Mus musculus: one gene and its partners. The protein of the gene in region 1 purifies or fractionates together with the protein of each later gene. This does not show direct contact. Links are inferred from orthologs where the notes say so. Each region holds a gene or a part of one and is shown in the gene's direction. Other genes may lie near its edges.

Evidence for each region.
Region 2: the proteins of Pop1 (region 1) and Rpp38 purify together in Homo sapiens (affinity purification with mass spectrometry; 3 studies listed by BioGRID and IntAct, with this or other methods). This does not show direct contact. The link is inferred for Mus musculus from reciprocal best matches to the Homo sapiens genes POP1 and RPP38.
Region 3: the proteins of Pop1 (region 1) and Rpp25 purify together in Homo sapiens (affinity purification with mass spectrometry; 3 studies listed by BioGRID and IntAct, counting the BioPlex papers as one, with this or other methods). This does not show direct contact. The link is inferred for Mus musculus from reciprocal best matches to the Homo sapiens genes POP1 and RPP25.
Region 4: the proteins of Pop1 (region 1) and Pop7 purify together in Homo sapiens (affinity purification with mass spectrometry; 3 studies listed by BioGRID and IntAct, with this or other methods). This does not show direct contact. The link is inferred for Mus musculus from reciprocal best matches to the Homo sapiens genes POP1 and POP7.
Region 5: the proteins of Pop1 (region 1) and Pop4 purify together in Homo sapiens (affinity purification with mass spectrometry; 5 studies listed by BioGRID and IntAct, counting the BioPlex papers as one, with this or other methods). This does not show direct contact. The link is inferred for Mus musculus from reciprocal best matches to the Homo sapiens genes POP1 and POP4.
Region 6: the proteins of Pop1 (region 1) and Rpp30 purify together in Homo sapiens (affinity purification with mass spectrometry; 5 studies listed by BioGRID and IntAct, counting the BioPlex papers as one, with this or other methods). This does not show direct contact. The link is inferred for Mus musculus from reciprocal best matches to the Homo sapiens genes POP1 and RPP30.

What each region holds. Positions count from the first base shown.
Region 1 is NC_000081.6:34,508,118-34,513,174, forward strand, and holds part of Pop1 (ribonucleases P/MRP protein subunit POP1), read left to right. Parts: intron 1-2; coding exon 3-90; intron 91-486; coding exon 487-674; intron 675-1,645; coding exon 1,646-1,902; intron 1,903-2,214; coding exon 2,215-2,308; intron 2,309-3,796; coding exon 3,797-3,908; intron 3,909-4,614; coding exon 4,615-4,734; intron 4,735-4,972; coding exon of another isoform or gene 4,973-5,057. UniProt on the Homo sapiens protein: Component of ribonuclease P, a ribonucleoprotein complex that generates mature tRNA molecules by cleaving their 5'-ends. Also a component of the MRP ribonuclease complex, which cleaves pre-rRNA sequences.
Region 2 is NC_000068.7:3,328,695-3,334,474, reverse strand, and holds Rpp38 (ribonuclease P protein subunit p38), read left to right. Parts: upstream 1-1,846; 5' UTR 1,847-1,948; intron 1,949-1,976; exon of another isoform or gene 1,977-3,245; coding exon of another isoform or gene 3,246-3,347; intron 3,348-4,018; coding exon of another isoform or gene 4,019-4,116; intron 4,117-4,601; coding exon of another isoform or gene 4,602-4,611; coding exon 4,612-5,454; 3' UTR 5,455-5,526; downstream 5,527-5,780. UniProt on the Homo sapiens protein: Component of ribonuclease P, a ribonucleoprotein complex that generates mature tRNA molecules by cleaving their 5'-ends. Also a component of the MRP ribonuclease complex, which cleaves pre-rRNA sequences.
Region 3 is NC_000075.6:57,502,009-57,506,580, forward strand, and holds Rpp25 (ribonuclease P protein subunit p25), read left to right. Parts: upstream 1-2,093; 5' UTR 2,094-2,228; coding exon 2,229-2,828; 3' UTR 2,829-3,439; downstream 3,440-4,572. UniProt on the Homo sapiens protein: Component of ribonuclease P, a ribonucleoprotein complex that generates mature tRNA molecules by cleaving their 5'-ends. Also a component of the MRP ribonuclease complex, which cleaves pre-rRNA sequences.
Region 4 is NC_000071.6:137,500,429-137,504,604, reverse strand, and holds Pop7 (ribonuclease P protein subunit p20), read left to right. Parts: upstream 1-2,175; 5' UTR 2,176-2,326; intron 2,327-2,525; 5' UTR 2,526-2,535; coding exon 2,536-2,958; 3' UTR 2,959-3,166; downstream 3,167-4,176. UniProt on the Homo sapiens protein: Component of ribonuclease P, a ribonucleoprotein complex that generates mature tRNA molecules by cleaving their 5'-ends. Also a component of the MRP ribonuclease complex, which cleaves pre-rRNA sequences.
Region 5 is NC_000073.6:38,261,426-38,265,997, reverse strand, and holds the end of Pop4 (ribonuclease P protein subunit p29), read left to right. Parts: intron 1-36; coding exon 37-98; intron 99-1,568; coding exon 1,569-1,670; intron 1,671-2,688; coding exon 2,689-2,825; 3' UTR 2,826-3,178; downstream 3,179-4,572. UniProt on the Homo sapiens protein: Component of ribonuclease P, a ribonucleoprotein complex that generates mature tRNA molecules by cleaving their 5'-ends.
Region 6 is NC_000085.6:36,099,717-36,103,552, forward strand, and holds part of Rpp30 (ribonuclease P protein subunit p30), read left to right. Parts: intron 1-455; coding exon 456-572; intron 573-1,092; coding exon 1,093-1,122; intron 1,123-1,517; coding exon 1,518-1,555; intron 1,556-2,104; coding exon 2,105-2,184; intron 2,185-3,836. UniProt on the Homo sapiens protein: Component of ribonuclease P, a ribonucleoprotein complex that generates mature tRNA molecules by cleaving their 5'-ends. Also a component of the MRP ribonuclease complex, which cleaves pre-rRNA sequences.

The sequences.
Region 1 (5,057 bases):
AGGATTTATCATATTACTGCTGTTTGGAGTTGAAAGGCAAAGAGGAAGAACTACTGAAAGCGCTCTCTCAAATGTGTAGCATAGACGCAGGTAATTTCAACAGCTTGTGCTGTGTTAATCTTTGTGTATCTGTTCATTTGTAAATAAATGTCTGTTATAAGCACTACTAAGCAGTTCAGATTTAATATGGAAATGTAAGATATTCTTATTCCCAGTGAGTACGTTAATTTAAGAAAGGTTGAGTTGATATTTAAATCTTTAATAACATTCTTATGTAAAGTGAGTCATTATTCCCGGAGTAAACTTAGGCAGAAACACCTTGAAACTCACTAAATCATTGATTTAACAAAGATTTTTTGAGGACTTACTCTGGCCAGAACCAAAGCTTCTCTCAGAGACTGACAGTTGCTAAAGCATGGCTCTCAGGAATAATACTGCTCTGTGTGAGCACCCACAGTCTCGCTGTTGCATTTATGTTTGTGCCAGGCCTGACTTTTGCTGCAGTTCACTGCTTGTCTGGGAAGCGGCAAGGGAGCCTCATGCTTTACCGGGCAAATAAGTATCCCAGGGAAATGCTTGGGCCGGTTACCTTCATCTGGAAGTCTAGGATGACCCCAGAGGATGCTTCTGAGGATAGGCAGCTGTGGATCTGGCTTCACCCAACTCTTAAACTGGTATGTCTTTCTGTTGCATTCCATCTCTTTAATCACAGTGTGTGGAGGGATTTAACCGTACACGCGTGGGAGTCTGCTCTTTCCTTCCACCACATGGACCTGCTTACTGCTGCATTCTTAATTACTATTGGAAGACAGTATTTTAGAAATTTCAGTGGTAAAAAAGTTTGGCTGACGATTTGATGTGATAATTTTTTTAAATGAATCAATTAAAATGTTACTTTCCATCCTTCCCTTACTTTCTTTTGCTTTCCCTCCCTCCCTCCCTTCCTTCCTTCCTTCCTTCCTTCCTTCCTTCCTTCCTTCCTTCCTTCCCCCTCTCTCTTTCCCTCCCTCCTTCCCTCCCTTCCTCTCCTCTCCTTTTCTTTCCTCTTCTTTCTTTCAACAGGGTCTGTGTAGCCCTGGCTGGCTGGCTTGCTTGCTTTCTTTCTCTCTCTCTCTCTCTCTCTCTCTCTCTCTCTCTCTCTCTCTGTCTCTCTGTCTCTGTCTCTCTCTCTCTCTCTCTCTCTCTCTCTCTCTCCCTCTCCCTCTCTCAACAGGGTCTGTGTAGCCCTGGCTATCCTGTTGCTATGTAGACCTATCTGGCCTCAAACTCAAGGTGATATGCATGTTTCTGTCTTCCAAAAACCCACGTCTTCATGCCTGGCTGATTTTTTTTTTTTAATTTAATTTTTTTTTTATCTAAAACTATTGAGCAAAGAATGGATGTACTTATCTTGACAATGATGATTTAATAAATAGATACACATTATGTAATGTTTATCACAGTGAACACACTCATCTCTGTCAATGTAATTTGTAACACTGCATTTAACTTAAAGCAGTTTTGAAGGATTTATTTTTCTATTTTATGTGTATGCCTGGTACCCACAAGGGCCAGAAGAGGTGGTTTTAACCACTAAGAAATATATCTCTTGAGCCCTCTGTGTTTAATTTTGAAGGTTAAAGTGAATGTTTACATACTTCCTTAGGCTGTCCTAGAAGAAATAAAAACAACATGCCACTGTTCAGAACCCGTCAAGTCAAATATCTGCATGCCTGACCCACTCCTGACACCAGCCCCGGAAGACATTCAAGCAGGACTAGCTGGTGACAAAATCAGCAAGAAAAGAAAAAGGAGAGACGATGGGGAGAGTGTTAGCCGAGCTAAGAAGACCATTGGTGACGGGACACGAGATGCCTGCCAGCCTCGGTCATGGCGATCTCCCACTACAGGGATTATAGTCAGGTAGGAGGAGTTTCAGTGGGAGACTGTCATTGTGACAACACTACGATCATCACCTCCCCCCCTTTCCTTTTTTGTTTTGTTTTGTTTTGTTTTCAATAGAGGGTTTTCCTGGCTGTCTTTAGAACTCACTGTGTACACCAGGCTGGCCTCAAACTCAGATTGCCTGCCTCTGCCTCCCAAGTGCTGGAATTCAAGGTGTGTGCCACCCTACCTGGCTATGCCTTGTGCTGTGTGCCACCATGTTTGCTATGTTCCATTTTTATCACAGACATCACGTGTGATAGACATTTCCATTTTGTGGTCTTCTCTCAGTGACTTGACAATGGAGATGAACAGGTTCCGGCTGATAGGCCCTCTTTCGCACTGTATCCTGACCTCAGCACTGAGGGCTGCTCCTGTACACACAGTGAGTAAACACGGCAGATTTGTGAGGCCTCACATACAATCTCGTATTCTGTTGGGTTGCCATATAATCTGTTATTACCAGCTCATTTTTGCTTATATATTTTTTAATCTTTCACTTCTAGAAGATGGAATTTCAGTGGGTGTGATAGTCAATTGAATATTTAATTCATATCCTCTTTTGTGAATCTGTAGAAGGTAATCCCTGCTCCGTAGATGGACAATGGGATGTCTCTAAAATCTCTTGACATTTTATGTCAGTTTTTATTCCCCTTTCCTTTAGTTTTTTGTTTTCTTTTAGTTTGGCTTATCTGACTGATTTTCTGGAAAGTTCTGAGCAACATGTCTCCCGGCACTTCAGATCAAAAGCAGGGCTGACATCCTTTGTGTTCTCAGGATTTGTAGCCGCCAGTCCTACTTGTGACTGAGTGGGTGAGGAGCTGATTTGTATTTATTTAATTTTAACTAAGGATTAAAGTCAGGGCGCTCTTTGTGGCCTGTGTTACCTCACACCTGCAGTTCTCACCTCACCTTTGACCTTTGGCCATGTTGGCCTTCAGGTTCTAGAATGTGTCACCTCTCATCTCTGTCAGGACTCACAGCTGTTTTCTTTGTATCTGTTGAGCACTCTGTTGTGCGACTCTTGGTTGGGCTAAGCGTCCCTCAGTTTTCAAGGCTCAGCCTGTGTCTTACACTCTGTATCCCCTCTGGGTAACTCGCTTGCCTGTTGTTTCTGTAGAACCTGCACGTTCCTTCTACGTTAACGTCCGTATCTCTCATTGATGTCTGCGGCTGCTGATGACAGGCAGTGCAGGCCCTGCCCTCTGCCCTGTCCCCAGTGCTTAGCACAGTGCCTAGCACATGGAGGTCTTGTATGTGCTCAAAAAGGTTGGAGTGAAGATTTGAGTTCAGAAGGCTTTGTTCTAGGGCCTGGACTCCAAACCACTTAGCTCTGCTAGGGGAGTGGCAGACGAGTTACCACTTTAGGGTCTGGAGGAGGCTTTCAGCATGAATAGTGGCCTTCACTGTCATATTTGTCACACTTCTATACTTGAAATGCTTTGCCAACTTTGCTAAATCCCAGCTTTGCTAAGAAAGATGTAAGTAGAAGTGTTTACGCATCTCGTCCGGTGTTGCTGAGAATAGTGAAGTGGTTTACTCGAGGTTTTCATTGGTTTGGTAAAAAAGGAACACTTTACCGCTTAAATTAAGAGAGGATGAAGGCAGTGAGATGGAAAAGGGTCTCTTAGGGAAAGAGAGTGACAATGCTTACTTAAGCTGTGTCTTTGAAAAGCATGGCTGTATTCTGAGTGTGTGAAACTGCTAATTAGAATGTTTAGTCAGGTAGCAATTACTGTCTTAGATATGCTGGCATCTTCCCTGCCACTCTCTGTGAAGCAGTTGTTCTCACATACAGAAACAAAGCGAGTGTAGCCTTGTTACAGCCGTGTTACAGCTGCAGCAGGGACTAGGCCAGGTCCTTGTTTTCCAGGGGGAAGAGGATGCCGAGGAGACACCACATCACTGGTGGACTGACACTTGCAGGAGCTCTGATGGTCGTTCTCTTCACCAAAGACAAGAAGCAGTGTTTGAGTTGTTGGGAGGTACAAGGAGGGAGGATCTGGTGCTGACGAGAAGGGAAGGGAGGGGTGGGACTGCTCAGGAGAGCGGTTGCCTTGCTTTATCCTGCTGTTATTTGTTGTGATATAACGAGAATCGAGTAAGAAGCCCAGAGCTAAAGATTAAAGCATTGAGTTTGTGCTTGTTTATGAAATAACAAGCTTGTTCCTATTCTAAATAACTGGTTTTCTGCAGTAAGAAAGAGTAAGCGAGCAATAACTGCTGACCTAATGTCCTTGCACACTGCCCCCAGATGCGCACAGCTGTTAGACAAATGTGTGCAGTTGTTAGGGAATAATTTTATGGTCTTTTAATTTTATTTTGCAAGAAACTTTATTTTTAAAGTGTTAATTTTATTTCTGAAGGTATTAATGGGCAAAAGGTGATATGTATTTTAAAACAATTATCCCAAGGAAAATGTTTCATTGGAAAAATCTGAAAGATTTCAAAATACAAACAAGATTGTGTTATACAACATTTTTATTACCTTTATTATTTTCTGTTTGTGTATGTGTACATATACACATGTGTACTTAAGGAAGTCAGTTCTCTTCTTTACTCATAGGGACAGAACTCAGGTTGTCAGACTTGGCGGCAAGTGTCTTTGCTCACTGAGCCACATCGCAAGCCCTGGGTGTTGCCTTTCTGTAAACTTGCTTTTATGCATTCATTCTCTCTGTTTTGTTGAAGGGATATCATCACCAGCAGAAATTCCAGCAGGTACTATTCTGGGATTGACAGTTAGGGATCCGAGAGTAAATTTGCCCCCACAGCGATCCAGAGCTTTGCCTGATCCAGAAAGATACCAAGGTAAGGTGCTTGCTATGCCCCTTGTCGAGCTGTCAGATGCACAAGGAATTCAGTCCCTGCCACTTATGGAGTAGCTCTGTCTGGGGCGTGTTAGAGGACACAGCCTGAAGCATCTTTTACATGGGAGGTGTAAACCACAGAGCCAACTTCTTAAGCTTGTTATCTATTTTTTTCCTGAGTTCTCTGTTTTCAGTATCTAGTAAAGTGTGTCTTTCTTTATTCTCCCAAATGACTGGAGTTTCGGAATTTACCTGTGAGGAAGGGATGTGCACCGGCAGCTGGTCTTGTGCTCATTGGAAGCCTCTGTCTGACCATACAGATGA
Region 2 (5,780 bases), on another chromosome or scaffold:
GTGGTTCCATTTGTCAGACATGTACCATGTGGCAGGCACTGTGGTAAGCATCTTACACAGAATATTCTTCTAATCCTCAGAATAGGCACTATTTTTATCATTTCATAGTTGGCTAATTAACTTGCCTGAGGTGTAGGGACACTAGTTAGTGGGAAGGCTAGGGTGTCAACATAGCAGCCTGGCGGCAGAGGCTTGTAATGTAAGAGCTGGAACTTTGGTGGGACAACACTCATAGCCATTACCTTTTTACTTCTTTATCTTGCCCCTCTTTCTGCCTTTTTTTATTTTTATTTATTTATTTATTTATTTATTTATTTATTTTTCTGTTATGGTGTGTGCAAGTTCTGGCCCCGAAGGCCCAGTCTGCAGCCTCCTGTCTCAGTCTTCCACGAGCCAGGATTTTATGTGAACCTTTAGTATTTCAATTCTACCATCGCGATTTGTCTTTAGCGCTACATGACTGCGGGTAATAGTAAAGGACGTCTTATATGGCACAGTCAAAACTCGACCGAACTTAATCTAGTTCATCTACTTGTGATAGAAACCACAGCACGCTTTTCCTGTAAAAACTTCAACAATCTTTGACCACAAGCAACAGTGTTTGTTCTGTTTAAATGTTCAATAGGTGGTGAATAATGGAAACGTAGAAGCTAGATCCTATATGTTAGTCTAAAATGAGCAATGAAAACACCGAGAAAAAAGAGGAAGATAAAGAGAAGGACCTGAATCCTCCCAAATTCATAAGAACAGAAAGTAATTCCTGTCAAGTAATTTTTATTTATTTATTTATTTATTTATTTATTTATTTATTTAATGTATGTGAGTACATTGTTGCTGTCTTCAGACACACCAGAAGAGGGCATTGGATCCCATTACAGATGGTTGTGAGCTGGGACTTGAACTCAGGACCTCTGAAAGAGCAGTCAGTGCTCTTACCCGCTGAGCCATCTCTCCTGCCTTTTTTTTTTGTTTGTTTTGTTTTGTTTTTTGTTTTTTTGAGACAGGGTTTCTCTGTATAGTCCTGGATGTCCTGGAACTCACTTTGTAGACCAGGCTGGCCTCGAACTCAGAAATCCGCCTGCCTCCCGAGTACTGGGATTAAAGGCGTGCGTAATTTTTAATCTTTAGTACATTATTCCACTGCTTACCAGTTGTAACTTTCCAGTGATTTTGTTTCATAACCTTTCTTATTTTTTGTCTCCGTTTGTCAGAAGGCACAACAGCTATTGCCGGAGTACTCTGGAGTACTGCTGTGGAACTAAATGCAGCCCCTATTTTCCTTTCAGTGTGCCCAAGATTCTACACATAATCTCTAAGTACATGCAACCCTATAACCCCTATTTATTTGATTTTCGTGGCAGAACACGAGCTCCGCCTACCTGCCTCTGCATTACGTCACTCCCAGTCAGGGGCGTCAGGCGTGGTGTGTGGACTAAACCTGGCACAGCACTGCGCAGGCGTGTATTCTGTCTCGCGAGAGTCTGTGGTTGCTGTAGTAACCAGCCTCTCCCAGGGACGCGTGCAGGGGAATGGGTGGCTATAAGGGCTGGAGTTTTGTATCCCCAGAACAAAAAGAGACAGCAAGGCAGAAGCAACTGGGCTAAAAATGGAGAGCCAAAAGGAGAGACGAACCTCTCACAGAACCGAGCTGTTCCGCATCGTCATTTTGGACGACCAGTCAGAAGGGAGAGGCTGGTTACTACAGCAACCACAGACTCTCGCGAGACAGAATACACGCCTGCGCAGTGCTGTGCCAGGTTTAGTCCACACACCACGCCTGACGTCCCTGACTGGGAGTGACGTAATGCAGAGGCAGGTAGGCGGAGCTCGTGTTCTGCGCACGCTCAGTGCAGGCGCACGTGGAGCGGGCGCAGTGGTTCCTGGTAGTGACCGAGTTGCTGTAGTGAAGCGATCCGTCACGTGGTCTCCGCGGGGCGCTTCTGCTCAGGTGGGCGCGTGCGTGCCTGTGGCTCGAGTCCCGGCCCGTGGGCACCCGGGTCACCGCGGGGTGGGGGTCATCCAGAGCCCGCTCTCCCTGAGGTTCTTTCCGGCTGGTCTCAGCCGATCCCTGCCTTCGGGGGTTTCCTTCCGTCGTGTTGTGTGATGCGGGTACCCCTTCGTCCTCCCGAGACCGCGGGAGCTTCTCTGCTGCTGACAGCCTTTCTAGGGTCTCTTCCCAAATCAAGGTCTCTGTGACGCGATTCTAATCGCGCCGCCCTTCTTGAAAGGCTCTAGAGTCACCATCTTGTCCTTACCCAGTATCTTCAACTCCAGCATCTCTGTTCGGGCGATACTGAACTTTAATGTTCTTCTGTAATCCCTCACTGCCCGCTTCCTTCTTGGGCTATCTAAAGAATTCCTTCAAAGGAGGAATATTTTAGATTGCGGTTGGTTAATGGTCGTTTTCTCCAGAGACTTCAACTAAGGCCTGTTCCTCAAGATAACCTCACTACTCTGGCTTTAGAGTGAGCCGTTTTTATTACTCGCAGAAGCTTTTTGCTTTGCCCAATGCCTAATGGCCTGCAACAGCAAGGATAATTCATAATAATTTGATAGAAAAAAATGTATGTAAGTGCTCTACCAGGCACAGTGTACGTTGAATAAGGACATGAGAAACCAGAGGCCTCATTAAATAGCCAGAATCTGTAATATGGGTGATGAGTGAAAGGAGAAATGCTTGAGAAATGGGAGTAAACATTTTGAGTTTGTAATTGGTCCTGTAGGCAGTAGCAGCTTGCAGACATAGTTGGCAAGGTACTTGATCAAGCTCTGTGAACCTGTTAATATTCAGCATTTTAAAAATTAGTATTGCATGGCGGTCATCTTATGTAGGCTTGGTTCTTTTTTTCATCTCCCCTTCCAGGTTTTTGTGAATCAGAGACATACATCCCAATCTTGCAATCCCTTGGTTGCAGAGCATCTGTGAGTGTCCCCCATGCTAGGCAGGGACAGTAGCTGACTTGCAGTTTGGCAAGCGTTGTGGTGGGACCATTTGTCCCTTGCTTCCTGGTCATTTTACTCAAAGCTAGCTACCAGCTGCTGGTCACCTCGATAGATTTGGACGACCTGTTCTTGAATCTCTTAGCTTGTGAGGAGCATGCAGCTCATGGGGATTGATGGAAGCAGTTATTATGGAAGCAGCTATAGCCAGTGTCTGTAGCAGTGGGCAGCACTGACAGAATCAAGATTGCAGCTCTTACTGGGAGTGAGTGCAACACCATCTCCAAAGGCCGTGCAGTCTGGAGATGCCACCTGCCTCACATCAACATCTCCAAATGTTGGGCAGCTTTTTACCAGCACCTGTGGCACAGTTGACTCCCAGAAATTCCAGCTCAGTAAGCTCTAGGGTGAGTCAGCCATCTGATGGTTCTTAAAAACCACAGGTTATTTCTAAGATAGATCCATGATTAAAAGAAGTCTTTAGAAAAACTAGCTGTGAGTTGTACAGTGAGTCTGCTTCCTAATCCATGCCAGGGAACTCTGTAAGTTTGTTAGGAACAAGATGCGTGGAGAAAGTGCCCTGAATTAGAGGAACCTTAAGCAGGGGGGACTTATTTGAAGTTTGTCAACTGGGTCTTCATAGTTCTCAGATGAACTCTAAGAAGGAGACAACTGAGAGCAGAGGTATACAGTTGCCTTTGGGAAGGATAAACAGGGTTTAAATGAATGAATGCCCGACAAGAGAGCAGTTAACGTCCTAACTTGTCTGTAAGGTTAATTATTATAGGAAGAACAAATAACAGTGTTTTGTTTCGGATTTGCTTTTGGAAGGAGCGCAGCCCATTTACTTCTCCCTAATGGATTAATCTCTGAATTTCATATTTTTTTTATTTTTCATGAAATTGCCCGCCAAAGCAGTCATCTTATAATCATGTGAGAGGGAAAATATGGGCCTGCATGTTTCAAATGTTTTAGGGACTTGGGAATCATGAGAGGAGGGAGACTTAAAGTTTTAGCCATGGACAGATTACTACGGTTTTGCTTCTTAAAATCTGACCTGGTTCATTATGAACTTCAGAGACTACAGAAGGTTAAGCTCTGTGTGGGCAGACACAGGGGCTTCAGAGCCCACCAGCATCTGTGTCTGGAACACCATCTGCCCACTGCAGTAACTCAGTAAGTATGCTTATAAATGAATGAATGAGGGGTTGGCAAGATGTTTCAGAGGGAAGAGGCATTTACTACCAAGCCTGTGACTTGAGTTCATTCCCTTGAGACTCACATGGAGAAAACCATTTTAATAGAGCTGTCCTCTGACCACATGTGCTATGACCCCAAACCTAATAAATGTCTTTAACATTTTTAAAATAAATGAGTGGAATTCCAATTAGAGTTTGGAAGATGCTCACAAATCTGTAAGATTAACACCAGTCACTCTCACATTGCCTGTTGAGCATCATGAAAAAATAGGGAGAATTAAGTCTTCCTTGTGCCACAGAAATTCTCTGACTGGTTATCTAGTTGGGCCCATATAATTAGACTTGCTGTAGCATATCAGCCTGGAATAAAAAACAAAACAACAGAGACTGGAGACTATAACCAAAATGTTCTCAAGACATGCATTGCTGACAGGAGTTTCATCATTTTGTTTCTTTCCAAAGGGTTTTCAAGATGGCTGCAGCCCCTCAGGCACCAAAGAGGGGATCTATTCGGAAGACTAGACCTCTGGTTGTAAAAACATCACTAAACAACCCTTATGTTATTTCCTGGAGCACCTTGGAGAGAGAAGACATACACTTTATATTACAGACTCTCGAAGCCAAGTTTAAATTGATTGGACTTCAGAAAATTGAAGATAAGAAGAAAAGGAAAAAAACAGCTCTTATGAAAAAGCAAAGTTGCCGGCCAGATATTGAGATTAGCGAGGATCCAAAAGAGCCTGATGGGGATGTGCTGGTGTCAGGGTGGACACCTGTACACGTCAGGAAACAGCTGGTCATTGGTGTTAATGAAGTCACCAGAGCTCTGGAGAGGAATGAACTGCTCCTGGTTCTAGTGTGTAAGTCAGTCAAGCCTGCCATCATCACCTCACACCTGATTCAGCTGAGTCTAAGCAGAACTGTTCCTGCCTGTCAGGTACCTCAGCTCAGCGAGAGAATTGCTCCTGTCATTGGCTTAAAATGTGTGCTAGCCTTGGGTTTCAGAAAGAACACCAGGGACTTTGCTGATGAAGTAGAAGCCATCATTCCCAGGGTGCCCAGCTTAAACGTGCCATGGCTTCCAGACAGAACCCAAGGTCCCACAGACAGTTTAGAGACTGAACCCTCGGAAAGCCAGGACAACGAGATTTTGGACACGTCATTTGATGACCTTACAAAACTTAGTAAGAGGAAGCTTGCTGAAGGTGGACAAGCTTCAGCTGCAACATTACAACCCCTTAAAATAAAAAAGCTCATTCCCAACCCTAGTAAGATAAGAAAACCACCCAAAAGTAAAAAGTCCATTTCCAAGTAGTTTTGTATGACTTGTCACTATGTCTAATGTCTAAATGAGCACTGAAAGAAATAAAATCAAAACTTACATATATTCTTAGGATCCTGCATGGAGGTGCTTTTCTCTTTGGGTGGGGCAGATGAAGTACAGAAAACACTCAAAACAATGATTAACAAAACCAAAGTTTATTAAGACTAATGTCCATGCGCATATAAATTCACTGCTTTAAAGGCTGGTACAATGCTTGCTTGCAAGAACATCAGTTTCCTACAGCACTTAACATTTCTCTACCGAACTTGGAAAATGGGCCACAGACATGGTCTAGCAAGGTGGGTGAAGCAACTGAA
Region 3 (4,572 bases), on another chromosome or scaffold:
GTCCCCACATCCTTTTCCCCCATCACCTCCCCACTTGCACAGCCGGCAGGCGATGGAGAGAGCTGACAGCGTAATGAATGGCTTCAGCTGTAATTAGCGACCCCGCGGCTAATCACGATGTGCATTTACATTTTAAGTGCTGCTGAGGGAGCTGGAAAGGAAGCGATGCGCGGGCGGGGAACCGGGCCTTTTCTGCGTTCTCCCTCCACAGGAAAATAAAGTGAATGGGAGAGTCTCTGGCAGAGGGTAGTGGTACTGGGAGAGGGTGGCGGTGTCCTTGAGGGCCAACTTGGGTAGAGGCACAACCATTCACTCTTTTCAGAACAAACCTGCTGCCCCCAGATCTTCCAAATTGTAGTGTACGGCCTACATGATTTCCAAGTTGTTTAACCCAGGCTTGCATACTCCAGGGAACGCAGAGCTCTCTTCTTTTCCAACCAGCACATTCCTACATAGCTTCTAGTCTTTCTGGAACTTTTTCTCAGATCAATCCAAAACTGCCGACTTTAAGTCCACCACTTGCCTGAGTGCACTCAGTCGTGGGGTCTCCCCAAGGTTGGGACTCCAGAGCCTGCTTCTCCCTGTGAAATCTACAAGAATTAAGATTAGATCCAGGGCAGAGTCCCAGTTCGGGGCACACTCCTGGAGTGTGAGCAGGAGATTGGAGCCAGTCACTCACACTTGAGGTAAAAATAAAAAATAAAAAGTCCAGCTGCTGCAGCCACACTCCAAGAAGAGATGAGATATAAGCTCGTTGTTCTGAGCTGAGGGGCTGAGAATTGTCACAGATAGCAAAGAGGAAGAGGAGGGCCGGGCAGCTCTCCCCCTAGACTGATGCTGTGCTCATCCAAACACCATCTTGCTGATACTTTGAGAACACCGTTCCTTACAGTCCTCAGTGCGTCTTCCTTCCCGGTGCTTCCCACGTCTGTCTGATTCCCTCCCTGCCTTTCCATGGAAACGGGATTGAATATTGAGGGCGTGGCCCCAGGCCAGGGTCACTCCTTATTAAACAGTCTTGCTTTGATCAGACCTCATCTTTCTACTGCCCACCTCACCTCGCAGCAGAGCCCGAGCCTCTGCTCAGATTCAGTGGAGTTCCCAGAGTTTGCAAGTACCCGCCCCCACACACACACATTCCGCCAAGGCACTCCACCCTGCCTCCCACCTCTTAAAACCTGTCTTCTCTCAGTCTCCTTTTAACAAAAACAACCCTCTGGATTTCTAGAGGCCAAGGCTGACTGGCAAGGAATTCCACCTGGAATTGGAAGTCAGGAATCCGGCGTTAGCTCGGGCTGAGCCACGCTCATAAACATGTATGCAGCTCCAGTAAAGGACTTTCAGGCATGAATATAAGAATTTAACGCCTTGGAAGAAATGGTCTCCTGTTCCCCATTCACTTTAGGCTGGCCCAACGCATCACTTCCTGCATTTCAGAGGTGCATAGGTGCCGGGAGCCTGGAGGTATGATCAGGAGGAGCAAAGCTTAGTGTCTCTCTAAGCAGCTACGCAAGGACCAGGCCACGACGTAGCGGTCCCAGCCCAGGGAAGGCGCTGCGTGCAGCCGCAGCCAACGCCTCCCACTCTCTGCTGACCATGCACTGGCTGCCCTTGACGCAAAAATATAGTAAGAGAACGGGAGGGAGGTCCCTGGAGGGGTGGAGTAGCGAAGCCCCAAAAGGTGGTTTGGAGATCTCTTACCTAGGAGGGGTCTAGGGATGCCCTTGCGCTGGAACCCCGCAGGGCTCAGGGACCAGGCTTGAGTCGGCATTTGAACCTTAAGCATAGTATTTATTTAGGTTGTTCCTGCATAAGGTCTGGTTCAGGGAGAACAGATGGTGACTTCGGAGAACTTCACCTCCCAAATCACCCGTGGCTCTGTGACCCCAGCCGCTGAGCTCCAGCGCTGGATCCCAAAGGCTGGAGGGACTGGGACAAGTCACGCAGAGTTGGGGCGGGTCCTGGGCGAAGGGGCGGGTCCTATCTGGCTCCCAGGCGGAGCTTCTGCTAAAGGCGCGGAGCACAAGGTGCCGAGGGCGCAGAGTAGAACATCACTACCCTGTAGAAGTCTGGGCTGAAGACTGCACGTTCCCAGCCCACCCTCCAACCTTCACTCGGCGCCGGCACCCCAATCCCTGCCAGCTCTCGCCCGGCACGACCCGCGGCCATGCAGCCCCGGGCTTGAGGCGGCCCCATGGCAAAACCTGCGATCCCAGCGACGACGGCGCATGGAGAACTTCCGTAAGGTGCGCTCGGAGGAGGCGCCGGCGGGGGACGGTGATGAGGGTGGCAGCCCGAACTCTGGCCCTTTTGCAGATCTGGCACCCGGTGCTGTACACATGCGGGTCAAGGAGGGCAGCAAGATCCGCAACCTACTGGCCTTCGCCACCGCCAGCATGGCGCAGCCAGCCACGCGCGCCATCGTCTTCAGTGGCTGCGGCCGGGCCACCACCAAGACCGTCACGTGCGCCGAGATTCTCAAGCGCCGCCTGGCGGGCTTACACCAGGTCACGCGGCTGCGCTACCGGAGCGTGCGCGAGGTGTGGCAGAGCCTCCCGCCTGGGCCCACACCGGGTCAGACGCCCAGCGATCCGGCCGCCAGTCTCAGTGTACTTAAGAATGTACCGAGCCTCGCCATCCTACTTTCAAAGGACGCACTGGATCCACGACAACTTGGCTACCAGCCTCCGAACCTCAGTCCTGGTCCTTCGTCCCCTCCTACGGTGTCGACGTCCAAGAGGAGCCTGGGGGAATCTGCTGCTGAAGAAGGCACCGCTAAGCGGTCTCAGCCTGAGCCAGAGGCTGAGAATGAGGACAGGACCGCCTGAGAATTCTCGCCTCTGAGCCACCCAGACCGACTGAATCATATATCTTCAACACTCCTGCATACCTTTCAACACACGCACCTTTCATACCTGGGTTTTAAGGGGCCCATGTTCCTGGACACCGGTCCTCAGAATGACAGCGCGGATCCCAAGGCGACAGGAGAGAGCTCAGGAATGAGAAGAGAGGATCCTTGAAGTCCAAGGAAACTTTGTGGGACATGTTACCAGAAGCCACAGAACACCACCCACACCTTTGCTAGGCCGTCTTTTTTAGGGAAGCATGGTGGGTAGTGGGACTCTTGAGCTTTCTTGGGGACCCAGACGTTAAAAGCACCCAGTATGCATGGATGCTGACAGTTGAGGCTTTAAAAATCATCTTTGCTGTTAACTGAGAGCGGGAGCTACGGAGCTGATTACTTGAGGATGGCCAAGTTGAAAATGTCCGGACCCTATTCTGCACCCCCACACACACACACACCCTAGCAATTCCCTTTTAGCATCCCTCCCCCACCCGCCTTGCATGATGGCTGAGAGGGGACTTAGGACAAAATCTGCCATGCTTCCTCCCCGAGTCCTGCTGGAGTCTTGCTTCCAATAAAACAAACGTGAAAATGGCTCTGTCTTCAGTTTTGTTCTTTTTTTCTTTTTCCTTACCCACTCGCCTGTGCAGAGACCACTTTGGCATGCTTGCCTTCAACCCTATTAGCCTTTGGAGTCTTCAAGGTCAGACACAGAGACTGGGGCAGTGTCAAAATGTTGAAAGAGGGACTTGTGGTGGAGGGGGCCGGGGTCTGTGTCACTGTTGTATCACCACAAGGGAAAGGAAGCAGTTTTGCTACTTCTCTGGGAGGGGAAGGAGGGGGGAGCATTGATGAGCTGGAGGCGGCAGCCTGCCAAGGCCGGCAGACCATGCTAAGGTTCTAACCTTGCTCGCTCCTCGCAGTAGACATTCTTACCCAGAGGCAGGCACAAAGCCCCAAGAGTAGGAGCTCCCCTTCACTGCCCTCTCTCTGCAAAAGGACAGCACACCCTTGGGAGAGGGGGAGGAGAGAGACAGCACAAATCCACTGCTGGAAATTACTATTCAGCAGAGAAGCTTGGGCTGTGAATCACTGCGGGCTCCCTGATAAGCCGCTGCCTCCAGCCCTGCACAGCTGTGTGTGGAGAGATAACAGCCTCAGATGCCTCTCAGCCCAAGTCCAAGCCTGGAGGGGGCGGGGGTGTGCTGTGTGCTGGGGAGCTGTGCAGCGTACAGCTCAGAATCTTCAGAGCAGATGCTACCCCATGGAACCCAGCACCTCTGGAAAGGAGATGGGAGAGAATAAATTTGTAAGTCACTTTGCCTGTAGAACCTTGAAATAAATCCTACTGGCGAGGACGTGGGTTTCTGCAGCTGATGGAGGGCGCCTTGGGGAAGCCTCTTCTCTCTTCCCAGTATCTCTGCTTGTGTTTTGGATCACTGACTCTTGTCATCCAGACTGTCGATCATTGCCTTTCACCTCCCACCCCACCTTCCTGACTTAATTATTTATTTTTAGGAGAGGTCTTGCCATGTAGTGCAGGCTGGACAAGAACTGATCCTCCTGCCCTAGCCTCCCAAATGCTGCGATTACAGGTGTGTAATTTGTCCAGCTCTATTTCTTGTTCTTGAGGAATCCCTAGGGAGAGCCAGGGGATCTAGATGTGTTTGTTGGCCTGATGTGGAGTAAGATGCATGGAAGACTGAAGTTACTGAAGATGTAACTCG
Region 4 (4,176 bases), on another chromosome or scaffold:
AGTGGACTTTTTTCTTCTATTATGGTGGGTCCCAGGGCCCCACCTCAGGTTCTTGGGTTTCACAGTGGGTAGCCTTACCTTAGACCCTCCACCCTTGAAATTTTGATGAACAACAGCTTATCTGTCTTCCCCACCCCACCTCGACCCTGTCTCTGGACTGGTTGCCTGACTAGCCTCTTGAAGAATCCCCTTACATTTTCTCCATTTGTTTTATAGTTAACAGTTTCATATTCAGAGCCACTGGCCACGCTATGGTCTTAAGGCCCTCCCCCACCCTCGGGTCTGTTTCAGAAGCACTCGATACACAGTCCTTTTGCATTGTGCTATGTTTGCATTTCTGTCAAGACAATGAGTTGGCCGGAGCTATAACTCAAATGGTAGCAAGTACACTGCATGAATCAGCTATGCTGGCCCACACCTGTAATTCCCACACTTGGCAGCGGGAGGCAGTTGAGCCAACCTTCAAGGGCACGCTCACTGAGTTTGATGCCAGCCTGGCTGTGAGGCCCTTTCTCCAATGGCTTGGTGTACTTGAGTGTTTCTGAGTTCTCTATTTTATTGATTTTTGTATATATACACCTGCCAACAGCACACTTTTCTTAATGACCGTATTTGCATGGTAAGTCTTAAGGGGCTGGCAAGATGGATCAGTGTGTGAGCTGTGAAGTCCTTGCTGTGTGAGCCTTTGCTCCTCAGAACCAATATAAAGGTTGAGGAATCGACTTCACAACGTGTATGGTCCCTGCACTGCATACACACAATAGCCATAGCTTTAAAAGTAAATATATATTTTTAAATTTTTATATATGTGCCTGTGTGTGTCTGGGCACACACACAGGCCAGAGGAGGGTGTCAGGTCTCCTGAAGCTGGACTTAACATTCAACATGGGTACCGGGAACAAACTCGAGTCCTCTTCAAGAGAGTCATCTTGAAGAGCAGAAAGTGCTCGTAATTGCTAAGACAGTTGAGTCCAACAACGTTACAAAATCATTTTATTCAGTCTATTTATTTGCCATAAGTTTTAGGATAAGTTTATTAAAATGGTGCAGTCGTGCACACCTAAAACATTAGCGCTGGGGAGGCCAAGGCAGGAGCATGAGTTCTAGGCTAGCCTGAGCTACATCGTTAAACCCTATCCCCACCCCCACCCCCCAAAAAAAGATTTTTTGGTTTATATGTGCAACTCTTCCTGAGACTCCTCTAAATGTTCATTAAATATATAGATCAGCTCGGAGTAAACTGAGGTCTAGCATGTCAAACCTTCCATTTTAACCTAAATCCTAGAAGTTAGGGATGTATCTCAGTTGAGTGAGTCCCTGCGGTTATAACCCTGGCACTCACAAGGTGGAGGCAGGGGGATCAGAAGTTCAAGGTTGGCTATATAGCAGAGTGCACACTTCCCTTTCCAGCCTTCAGTCAGATTCAGCCTAGGTAAGTGGCCTGGAGATGTATCTAGGACGAAGCCCCAAAGCAGGCTTCACGCCTTTCTGCAGGGAACGGTCCAAATGCTTTACCATTGCGGGCAGAGATCCAGATTCCCACTAACTTTCAGGGGCTAGGAACCCAAGCACTGCAGTTCCTGTCCCTTCCGCCAGGGAGCGGCCGGTCATGGCTTGCCGGTCGCGGGAAGCAGCTCGAGTGCGGCGGGACAGTTAAGAGGTGTGGCGGGAAGCTGCCAACACTTGGCACCTCATGTGGGTCCCTCGCAGAGGGAGGAGTCCATCATGGTGGACACGATCCCTTCGATTTCTCGGCTTCCGGGGCTGTCAGGACGTCGGGCGGGAGGTCAGCTGTCAACTCCACTGCTCAGAAGTGGGATGGACGTGGACTACAGGCTTCCGGCCCCTGCGATCCCAGCTCCAATGCTGACCCGGGGTCGCTGCCCGAACCCCCTTTTCCAGCCCTGCTTCCCGCCTCGATCCTCGAGTCCCGCCCTGCCCGGGGAGGGGAGAACTGGGCGATCCACGCCACGCCCCTCTTGGGCCCGCCTCTGTCAATTAGCCCCGCCTCTGCTAGCTAGTCCCGCCCTTCGAAGCGCTCACTAGAACCCTGCGAACCCTCAAGTCTCGCGAGCCTTAAATCGCCTTGCGCACGCGCACGAGGAAAGGAGGCGGAGAGTACGGAAGCCTAGAAGGCCATAAGCTTATCGGTTCCGGCTTGGAGCGGGGACGCGCGTGCGCAGTGCGTAGCCCTTGCTGGCGAGCCTGCCCGGCGTTCCTCTTCCGATCCCTTCTCCGTTCTTCTTCTGCATATCGAGGCCAGCGACGTCCACTTGGATCGGTCGGCGAGGCTCACGCGAGTGAAGGGCACTGAGGAAGGAAGAAGGTAGGCGTGGACACGCCGGGAATGGGAACCACGTGATGAATGAATTAAAACTGGGAGTGGAGAAAGCGGAAGTGGAAGGGCTTGAGACACTGGGAAGGAAGAGGGTGTTGAGGGCGCCCCCTTCTGGTTGCACCCTTAGAAAGCCGGGCAAGAAAGGATTCTCCTGACCTCCCTGAATCTTGTTCCTTCTCCATGCCAGGACTCAGAGCATGGCAGAAAACAGAGAACCCCGCTGTGCCATCGAGGCTGAGCTGGACCCTGTGGAGTACACCCTTCGGAAGCGACTTCCCCACCGCTTGCCCCGGAGGCCCAACGACATTTATGTCAACATGAAGACTGACTTTAAGGCCCAGCTAGCTCGCTGCCAAAAGCTCCTGGACGGAGGCACTAGGGGGCAGAACGCATGCACTGAAATCTACATTCATGGCTTGGGCCTGGCCATCAACCGGGCCATCAACATCGCCCTGCAGCTGCAGGCGGGCAGCTTTGGGTCCCTACAGGTGGCCGCCAATACCTCCACCGTGGAGCTGGTGGACGAGTTGGAGCCAGAGACTGACTCTCGGGAGCCCCTGACGAGGGTCAGGAACAACTCAGCCATCCACATCCGAGTCTTCAGGGTCACGCCCAAGTAACTGAAGGGAGGCTGACTTGGACCCACCAAGGCTTCTGAGCACACACATCCATGTGGCCGAGGTTTCTAGTGCTTCATAGTGGCTCTTGTTCTGAGTTCTGTCCTGAGCCTCTTGTTACCTTGTTACTTCAGCCTAGAGGACTGAGAATGGAGAGCCCGAGAAGTGAATCTTCCTTGTCCTGTATAATAAATTATTAAGTTGTGTTGGTGCCGGGCTTCGAATGGCCTCTTTTTCCTAGTGTAATTCTGTGTGTACTTGAATAGGAAAATGGTAGGAAAGAGCAAGTATATAGGCCACAGTAAGGCATCTCACATTGAACCACAGTATGACGGGAATCAAATTTGTTGAGTGTAACACGGAAGCTTAATTGTTACAGTGTGCTCTCAGGAAGATGAGAGAGTAGACTCATCGACTGAGCTAGCTACAGCTGGGATGTATCCGGCTCTCATGGTTCCCAGGCTTGGGAAAAGAGAAGGTTTAAAGGTGAGGGAAGTTCTTTGTGGATATAACTCAGCAAAGGAATCGTGACTAGTGAGTGTTACCTAGTTGCCTAGCATAGGATTAGGCCAGAGGTTCAATTCCTAGTAACCACAAGAATTATGACGGGGGAGGGATGGGGAGATGGCTCAATAGGCAAGGCACTTGTCAAATAATCATGAATATTTGAATCAGCAGAACTCATTTTTCTGCGGAGCATTGCAGCTCTTGAATCCAATTCCCATGCTTCTACAGTGAGATAGGTATCAGAGATGGGCGAATCCTCGCTAGCTTGTGGGCTAGCTGCTCCGGCATAAACATCAGCAGCAAGAAACCCTGGCTCGAAGTGGAAGGTGACTTACACGTAAACTGTAGCACATGTACTGGTACTCACACATACACATGCAAAACTGACGGTTTGTTTGCTGGTAGTCAAACCTAGGGCCTTTTTACCCAAAGTAAGTCTACTGTTGCTGAGCCACGCCCCCAGCTCTTCAGTGGTGGATTCTAAGTAGCCCTTCTACGGCTAAGCCCCTAGCTCTTGAACTGACAGTTTTGACTGTTACACTTGATTCCTGTTCCCGAAGAGCTCATGTGTTGCTGGGCATCGGTAGTCTAGAGTCTGAGATCAACCTAGTTCAGCTGTTTAATCTTTCTTGCCAGCTTGCTTAGATGTAAAATCACCCAGTAGACACTCCTCTGGGCATGTGTTTAGCTGAGGTAGGGAGAACCTGCTCTTTA
Region 5 (4,572 bases), on another chromosome or scaffold:
TTACCGACTCTTCTCTGTGGGCTCTTCACCTCCTAGGCAGCCACAGATGATTCAGGCCAAGCTCCTAAAGGCAGATCTTCATGGTGCTATTATTTCAGGTAATTTCTATGAATGCATATAGTCATCTGGAGATTGTTACTCAGTGTAAGTGAAGTGTGTGTCACAGCATTCAGCCTGTCATCTGTCACTTGGCATCCCTGAACTATCTCCAAGTCACAAGCAGTGAGGATCTGAGATAGTTGTGATCTAACCCATCCTGGTTCCTTGTTAAACACACACTAAGTGCTCTCTTGGTGCCATCTGCTCACACTGTTGGAATCGAGGCTCTAGCCGATTCTCTTGGGCCCAGATTCCCTCCCATCATGGTTTCCAAGGGGTCACCGCCAGTGCAGACTTTTCCCACGACTCCTTCACCCCATGACACCCAAAGCTGCCTGGATGGACATCCAAGAGCTACCTCAGATTAGCTATCCAACACCAAGCCGTTGGTCCCCTGAGGTCAGCTGTCTCTGATCTGCTTGCCTCATCTCCTAGAATAGCACAGCTTGTCCAGGCTAGAAACTAGGAAGTACATACAAATTACCTCTTTCCCCAATCCTCTACCTCAAGGACATTAACACACCTAGCTCCCAAATCTGACCCACTCCCTCAAGGTGCTGCGACTACTTTCTCTGGCCTCCCCACACCCTGCCCAGGTCACATACTGTTTTATTCCCACATACACTACAAGGTTAAATACCCAGAATGAAGGCTGCAGTCAGACTTCAGACTGCTGTTTACGTTACCCGTTCTAGGCCTCTAGCAGCTTCGGTGTCCTTTGGCCACTTTGTAGCTTGCACACCAGTTGTCTTTGCTTGAGTCCTTCATTCAACCAAGGGGTTCTGCATATGCATGTACCTCGGTCCCCTTTCCTGATGTCACTTCTGAGAGTCTACTAGCACTAAAGTTTCTTCTTCCACCCCCATTCTGTTCTTATTTTCCTTGTAGCCATTATCAGTATCAAGAATTAGAATTGCCCGTGTTTTACTATACATTGTCCTCTACCACAGCTTCAGCTCCACAGGAGCAGAATACAAACCATCTCATTCAGTGTCCTGCCCCAGCACCCTCCTAGCTCACTGGGCACATAGTTTCTTCTGTGAATGCTGACTACACGGAAGCGGAAAGGGGCCTGCCTATGAGGTGGCTCATGCCATTGCTAGGCAACTCTATAGAAGGACTACATTCCAGACAAAGTTCAGGAGACCCAAAAGTAAATGATAGATGCCCTGCCCATGGTGTTTGCTCCAACAGCAGTACACTGGACTTGTTGGTTCTGTGTATTACCTCTCGGCTCCAGAACCCTGCCCAAAACTAAAGGACACCCAAGAATAGCCAAGAGATCATGAAGCACAGGACAAGGGGCTAGGAAGCCTGGGCTCTTGCTAGCTGGGTCACTGCCCAAGAGCCACTATCTTCTGAGCACTTTCTTCCTCAGCTTAGAAAAGCCCATCTTCCTGTCTCTGAGGCTTGGCAATGACTGCCAGCACCACCCAGTCCTTACAGTCAGTTGCCTTTCTCCTTTGCAGTCACGAAATCCAAGTGCCCCTCCTATGTGGGAGTTACAGGAATCCTTCTGCAGGAGACCAAACATGTCTTTAAGATCATCACCAGAGAAGACCACCTAAAAGGTGAGTGCTGTGTCCCCAGGGTATCAGATGCCACTATATCTCCCTTCCAGGTTTGCTTTCCTGTGGAGTCAAACAGGTTGCAAGTGCTTACTATGATGTGAGTGAGGTCGCTGCCTATGTGGCTCTCCCAGGAGACATCTATGAACACAGCCTGCAGCCTGTCCATGAACAGGACAGAAGAACTGCTTGGTTGTTTCTTGGATCTCTACCTACCAAAGTCACCACCTCTCAAATGAGTAACTAAAAGAAAGGCAGGAGAAACCAAAGCAACCTATACCTGGAGTTCTGAGAACTGCACCCTAGTTCTCTTGAGTTTTAGCAAGTTCCAGCAGGTACTCTGGATCTTTTGGGGTCTCTGTACCTGACCTTACCCACATATCCAGAGATTCAAACAACAGATGGAGGGTTTGTACTCATTCCTTTATCTGTTGATTCTGGAAATTAAACCCAGGACCTCTGTCTACTAATCCTGCGCTCTGCCCCTGGCTTACCCCCAGAGCCCTGCTTCATTGTTTTTCCATGATGTTCTGCTTGCACTGTAAGTCTAAGGAAGTGGTATAGAAGTTTCCTCATGAGCACACATCTAAGAACCTGTGCAAAATTGTATGGAAAACCCTACCTGGTGGTGGGCCTGGGAGCCTTCGGTCGTGGGAGTTGAGTCATTCACCCCAGAACCTGTAATTAGGCATTGAGTTACATTTAGACTGAGTCAAATGGCCCATGTCTCCCTTGGTATTTCTGGCTTGATCTCCTCATTCCTATAGACTTTTTTTAGACATTCTCACTATCTAGCCTTGGCTAGCTTGGAACGTGCTATGTAGACCAGGCTGCCCTTGAACTCAGAAATCTGCCTGCTGCCTGGCTTTGTCTCCTAGGTGCTCGTATTAAAGTGTGTGCCACCACACCTGTCCAACTCACTTGAATACAAGTATGTATGAATAATGCTCCACACAAAAATGAATGCACTCCCCATGTTGCTTCTCATCCTTTTTTCCCCCTCTTTTTTTTTTCCCTTCAGTCATCCCCAAGCTGAATTGTGTGTTCACCATAGAAATTGATGACTTCATTTCCTACATTTATGGAAGCAAATTCCAGCTTCGGGCAAGTGAGCGGTCTGCCAAGAAGTTCAAAGCAAAGGGATCAATTGACCTGTGAACTCTGCCACTGGAGACAGATGTCCCTGACACTGAAGAACTGGAAACTCCCTAAATACTCACTTTTTCTTGAAGAGCCTCTGGCTGTAGCCCGTCTGTAGTCCAGGGAAAACAGAGGGGCTGAAGAGCATCGAACAACTCGGGAGAAAGCTAGGGGTAAATATTTGTACTGTTAGGTGACCTTAAGTTAGCTTTAGTTCCACAGGGAGGAAAGACTAGCAGAAACACACCAGGATTAACCTTGGGTCATCTGAAGAAGGGGGCATTTAGGCTCTGCCTTTCCTACTTCTCTGTGTATCCTGAACATTCTAACAAAATCAGCTATTGAAATAATAATAAAACCAGACCACGGGCATAAATGGCTTCAAATTCCTGTACTTCTGCTGGGTTGAAAGGAAGGGGGGGTTGTGGCTCCCTCACCCCATGGCCACCTCCCGTCTCCGATTGCTTTCACGGTATGAAACATCAGATCTGACTGGAAGTCATCTCAGCTCCAAACCCTGAGCTGCCTACACTTTGCTGCTCTCACACACAGGCGTCGTGAGCTTGCTAGATGGCTCAGATTTGGCTACAGTAGTCAGAATGGGGCAGAGGGCCAGATCTGCCAGTACCATTGGAACTGGGCCAGCACTCCAGGCTGGTATCATGAAAGCCTTGTAGTTGAAACCTGGTTCACAGGAATCACTTGCCCCTTGCTTGTAAGAAGCAAATGTCTGCCAGCCAACTCAGAAATTCTCCTGGCAACACATGTAACCACTCACAGGGAGGCGGTGGTGCTGGTGGGGTCACTTCCTGGATGGCTCCGACTCAGATCACACTGAGTGGAAGAGAAATGAGTAAGGCTAACATTCTTCATATGACAGAAAAATAGAATGCTTACTCCCAGAACCACCTACAGTGGTTTGAATAAGTATGGCCCCATGTAGACTCGTGTGTGAATGCTTGACCCATAGGGAGTGCCACTCTTAAGGAACTCTGGCCTTGTTGGAGGAGATGTGACACTGGAGAGGTGGGCTTTGAAGTCTCAGGTATGTGATCAAGCTTTGCATGGTCTGGAATGCAGTCTCCTCCAGGCTGCCTCCAGATCAAAATGTCCAACTCTCAGCTTCTCCAGCACCATGACTGTTTAAATGGTGCTGTGCTTCCCACAATGATAACAGACTAAACCTCTGAAACTCTAAGCCAGCCTCCAATTAAATGTTTTCCTTTATTAGAATGGTAAATCTTCACAGCAATGGGAATTCTAACTAACCAGCACCCCCAAGTACCACAGTCTGGACCTGTTCTACCACTCTCTGGACCCCAGTTCTATCTACATCATCAAGACATTCCTCATGGCACTCCCCAGACCCACCTGACCCCTGTTTCCCTGGTGGAGGGCACACATGGGCTCTCACCCTGAAAGTGAGCATTACTCAGGTCTCATTGACTTTACCCAAGGAAAGCTGAGATCTGAACCAGAAAGGCTGGCTCAGGGACATGGGCTTCCCAGCAGGATACCCACAAGAATGTGAAAGACTAGAATCAAGTATGTATATGTTCCTTACAAGGAACACCATCTTCTGTGTCCAGTGACTACTGTTGTACCTGAGTGAAACCGCATGTGTGCTATAACATCGAGCAGAACTATTCATCCACACCCTCTGAGATGAAAAAGGCACACTATGTTGCATAGTTATGTCCCAGAAAACTTGCTGGGGCCAGCCCCAACTCAAGTTTCCATTGACTAGCTAAGGATGTTCTCAGGG
Region 6 (3,836 bases), on another chromosome or scaffold:
AAATGACGTAGCTGTGAGGTTCCCCTCCCGCTCCTCCGGCCCTTCAGATCTTCATCTCCTTTCTTTCATTCCTGGGTCAAGTTGCTTGGCTCTCTGTTGGCTCAGATTCCCTGCATAGGGAAGCACACACATCCTTTTCTTCGGACCAGGTGAGCAGTAGCCCTGTGCACGTGCACACTGCACACACTTGGCTGTCTCTGCCTCTGCAGGTCCTGTTTGTGTAGGTAGCTTCCCAAACTGACATAAGCTCTGTCATGAAGTAGACCTTCATGTCTGTTTGCTCACTTTGGATAGGGGTGCAGAGCTGTGGGCCTGCCTTTGTTTAAGCCAGTCCCTTGCCATGTAGGAGACATGCACAGAGGGGGAGAAGGGAGGTGGAAAGAGACTTCAGAGGGAAGTAGGTAATGTACTTGTCTTTGACGGTTTATACTTTGTCTTCTTTATTTCTGGTAAAGGCAATTGAGCGAGGCCTGGGCTTTGAACTTGTCTATGGTCCTGCTATCAGAGATGCAACGATGAGAAGGTACACAATCTCCAATGCCCTCAATTTGATGCAGATCTGCAAAGGAAAGGTATAGTTCCAGCCCAGAGGATGCTTTCTGCTTCTGACAGTTTAGTAGTGTGTCCGTGCTGTCAACTGATTCCTTGCCTTAAGCAGAAAATTTTCAAAACACTAAATTCTTCAGTTTCAATGAGCTTTCCGAGATCTTGTAAAACCTCCCAAGGGCGGAGTAAGATAGGGAGGAAAGATGTGCCGAAAGCCTCTAGTTTTGATAAGGGATTTGTAGTTTGCCACAATGAAAAGACTTCTGTAGATAATAGTTGATTATCTCTGAGTGAATTAAAGTTACAGCTTTTAATTCGTCCTCACTAAGATTTACTTACAAAGTTTATTCTGCTTTTTTTAAATTGGCTGCCTTGAGTGAGAGCTTTCGATGCTTTCTCATTCGTTGTTTACCTTATCTTTTAAAAATAGAACTTGGTATTTCAGCCTTAAATGTTAGACAGAGTTGCTGATCATTTGTTCTATACAATTCTTCAATTATGTTATTAATTATCTAAGATTAATATTGCTCACTTTCTGTTTTATAGAATGTAATTCTGTCCAGTGCTGCAGAAAGGGTAAGCATAGATGGAATACTTTGTCCCAGCAGTTACAAAGCTTGGCTACACTTTTAGAACACCTGACAAGACAGTGAGATGAACTGCCTCTTAGTGCTTGTAACTGTTTGCCGATGGTAATTGCGAAATGTATCCCATTGATTTTGCCTTCGGGTTTTGCCTATGCATGTTTGTATTTGTGAATTAACTAGAATAAAGTGATTTTATTTTTCCCTTTACCTTGTAAACAACCCTTTATATGGTTTATTATATATTTTTAAAAACTTATCACAATTATAAGGATCTTAATTTATGAAATTTACTTATCTTTGGATACTTAGTTGTACTTATTATAAATAATTAAGATGTTAATAACATCTCATATCTCATTTTATTTTCTATTTTTCTCATTTTAGCCTTTGGAAATAAGAGGACCATATGACGTGGCAAACTTGTATCCTCTCAGTATTCTGTTTAAAACCTATGTTCCTATTGGGCATTGATCAGAAGACAACTTCAGGAAGTAGTTCTCTCCTTCTACCTTGCGGGTCTTGGGCATCCATCCAAGGCCACAGGTTGCCAACAGACACCCTTAAATGTTAAAACAGAGTTGCTGATCATTTGTTCTATACAATTCTTCTGAGCCATCACGTTGAACTAGAATTTTCCCTTAGAAAAATGTAATCAAAAGTGCTATTATAATTTAGCCTGGTGTTTTGTTATCATTTAGTTGTAAGTTTACTGACCAGCAGCCTCGGAAGTCAATAACAACTAGTTGTAGCTTTCTTCTTCTTCTCCTGGTGTTTGGATTAAGCAGCAGAAAAGAGAGACAAGGGACTGTACAGGACAAAACAGTTAATTGAGACTTCTTGGGTGCAGGTCTCAGGCAGGCTAAGTCTGTCTGCCACTGTGAGCAGGTGAGCTGCCCTTCGTTTGTGTTTGTGTTTGTGTTGTCTCATATCCTTGGCGGACTCTGGGTTGAAGTCCTTAATGACCCTATCAGAGGACTGCTGTTTGGGCTTTCTGAAAATGATGGCAAGGCTGCCGTGTCCACAAATTGCAGAGCTGTATTTCTCCATGGAGGTAAGCATGTTGTTATTTATAGTAAAATCAGAATGGTCTCGTTAGAGGCAGGTTATCATCAGATAATTGGCATATATGTGCTTTAACTATCCTTCCTACAGAGTTCTTATAAGGGTGTCTTCTCAACCAGTTCTAACCATATTCTGTTCCTTGCCCTCATTTCAGGCCTTCCTCTCTGTAGTGTGTGCATTGTATGTAGTGTGTGCATTGTATGTAGTGTGTGCATTGTATGTAGTGTGTGCATTGTATGTAGTTTGCATTACAGAATGACTGTTGAATGTGTTCTTTCAAACTACACACTGTCCCCAGCCCACATTTTCAGAGGCTTTTAACATCGCTCCTGCTTTTCTCTGGGTGGTCTTTCTCCCTGCTAAAATAAATAAGTTTCAGAAACAGGAGTGGGAATAGTAGTGTTAGTTTGACAGGATCTAGAACCATCCCGTTCCAGAATCACCTGTGAGGGGTTATCTAGATTCGGTAAGCCCCTGAGAATGTGAGTGTTTGGTTAGTGGATGTGAGAAGACCCTCTTCCTGGCTAGGGATCCTGGATTGAATAAACTAGAGAAAGCAAGCTGAGCACTGGCACTCAGACATGCGCTCCTCAGCTGGGAATAGGATGCAGCCAGCTGCTTCAGGCTCCTGTGCCCCTGAACTCCCTTCCAAGATGGACTCTACCCTTGCACTGTGAGCTGAAATAAACTGATTACTCTCTGGGTTGCTCTTATCAGAGTATTTTACACAGGAACAGAAAAGAAACGAAAACATCAAACCATTAAGTAAAAAAAAAAAAAAACCAGAAACGTCGATGGGCAGTGGTGGCACACGCCTTTAATCCCAGCACTTGGGAGGCAGAGGCAGGTGAATTTCTAAGTTCGAGGCCAACCTGGTCTACAGAGTGAGTTCCAGGACAGCCAGGGCTACACAGAGAAACCTTGTCTCAAAAAACAACAACAAAACAAAACAAAACAACCCAGAAACATCATTTTTTAAATCCACCTATCTAAACTCAGTCTATAACTTTTGTTTTTATTATAACTCAGAATGTTTCTTATTTTGGTTTACATGATCATGTATCTACGGTTACGTATTTTGGGTGTGTTTTTCCCAAGGGGTTGGGGGGCGTCATTGGTTATGTAAAAATATTATACTAGGTTACATAAGGCCATTTTTTGCAAGTCTAATAAATGTGCTCTGGGCACATGCCCTCCACCCTCCTTTCTCACCCCGTTAGTCTCTTGTGCATATTCCCTGCCACTCCACACCCCTTACAGCTATTAGTCCCCTTCATGCATACTAGTTACACTCCCCACACCCCGCAGATCCCAACTAGTCCTCTTGTGCAGGTTCCCTTCCTAACCTCAGACCAGTCCTTCTGTGCATACTCCCTCACACCACCTCCCATTAGTCCTCTTGCTCCTGAGACAGTTCGCTCCGACTCCTGGACTTCTTCCATGGTCTGCACATGTACGGTTTGTGTACCTGAGGGGAGTGTGAGGCCCACAATGAGGCAGAGCCCACTCCTCCTGCAGCTCTGCTCTTCCTTCCTCCTCACCACACCCTTCCTCCAGTGTCACTTTTCAGTGTGTTCCTTAGTTCATCAGGCGGTGATTGTCCTGTGTGCCTTCATTCTAATATGTCTATTTGTAATGTAC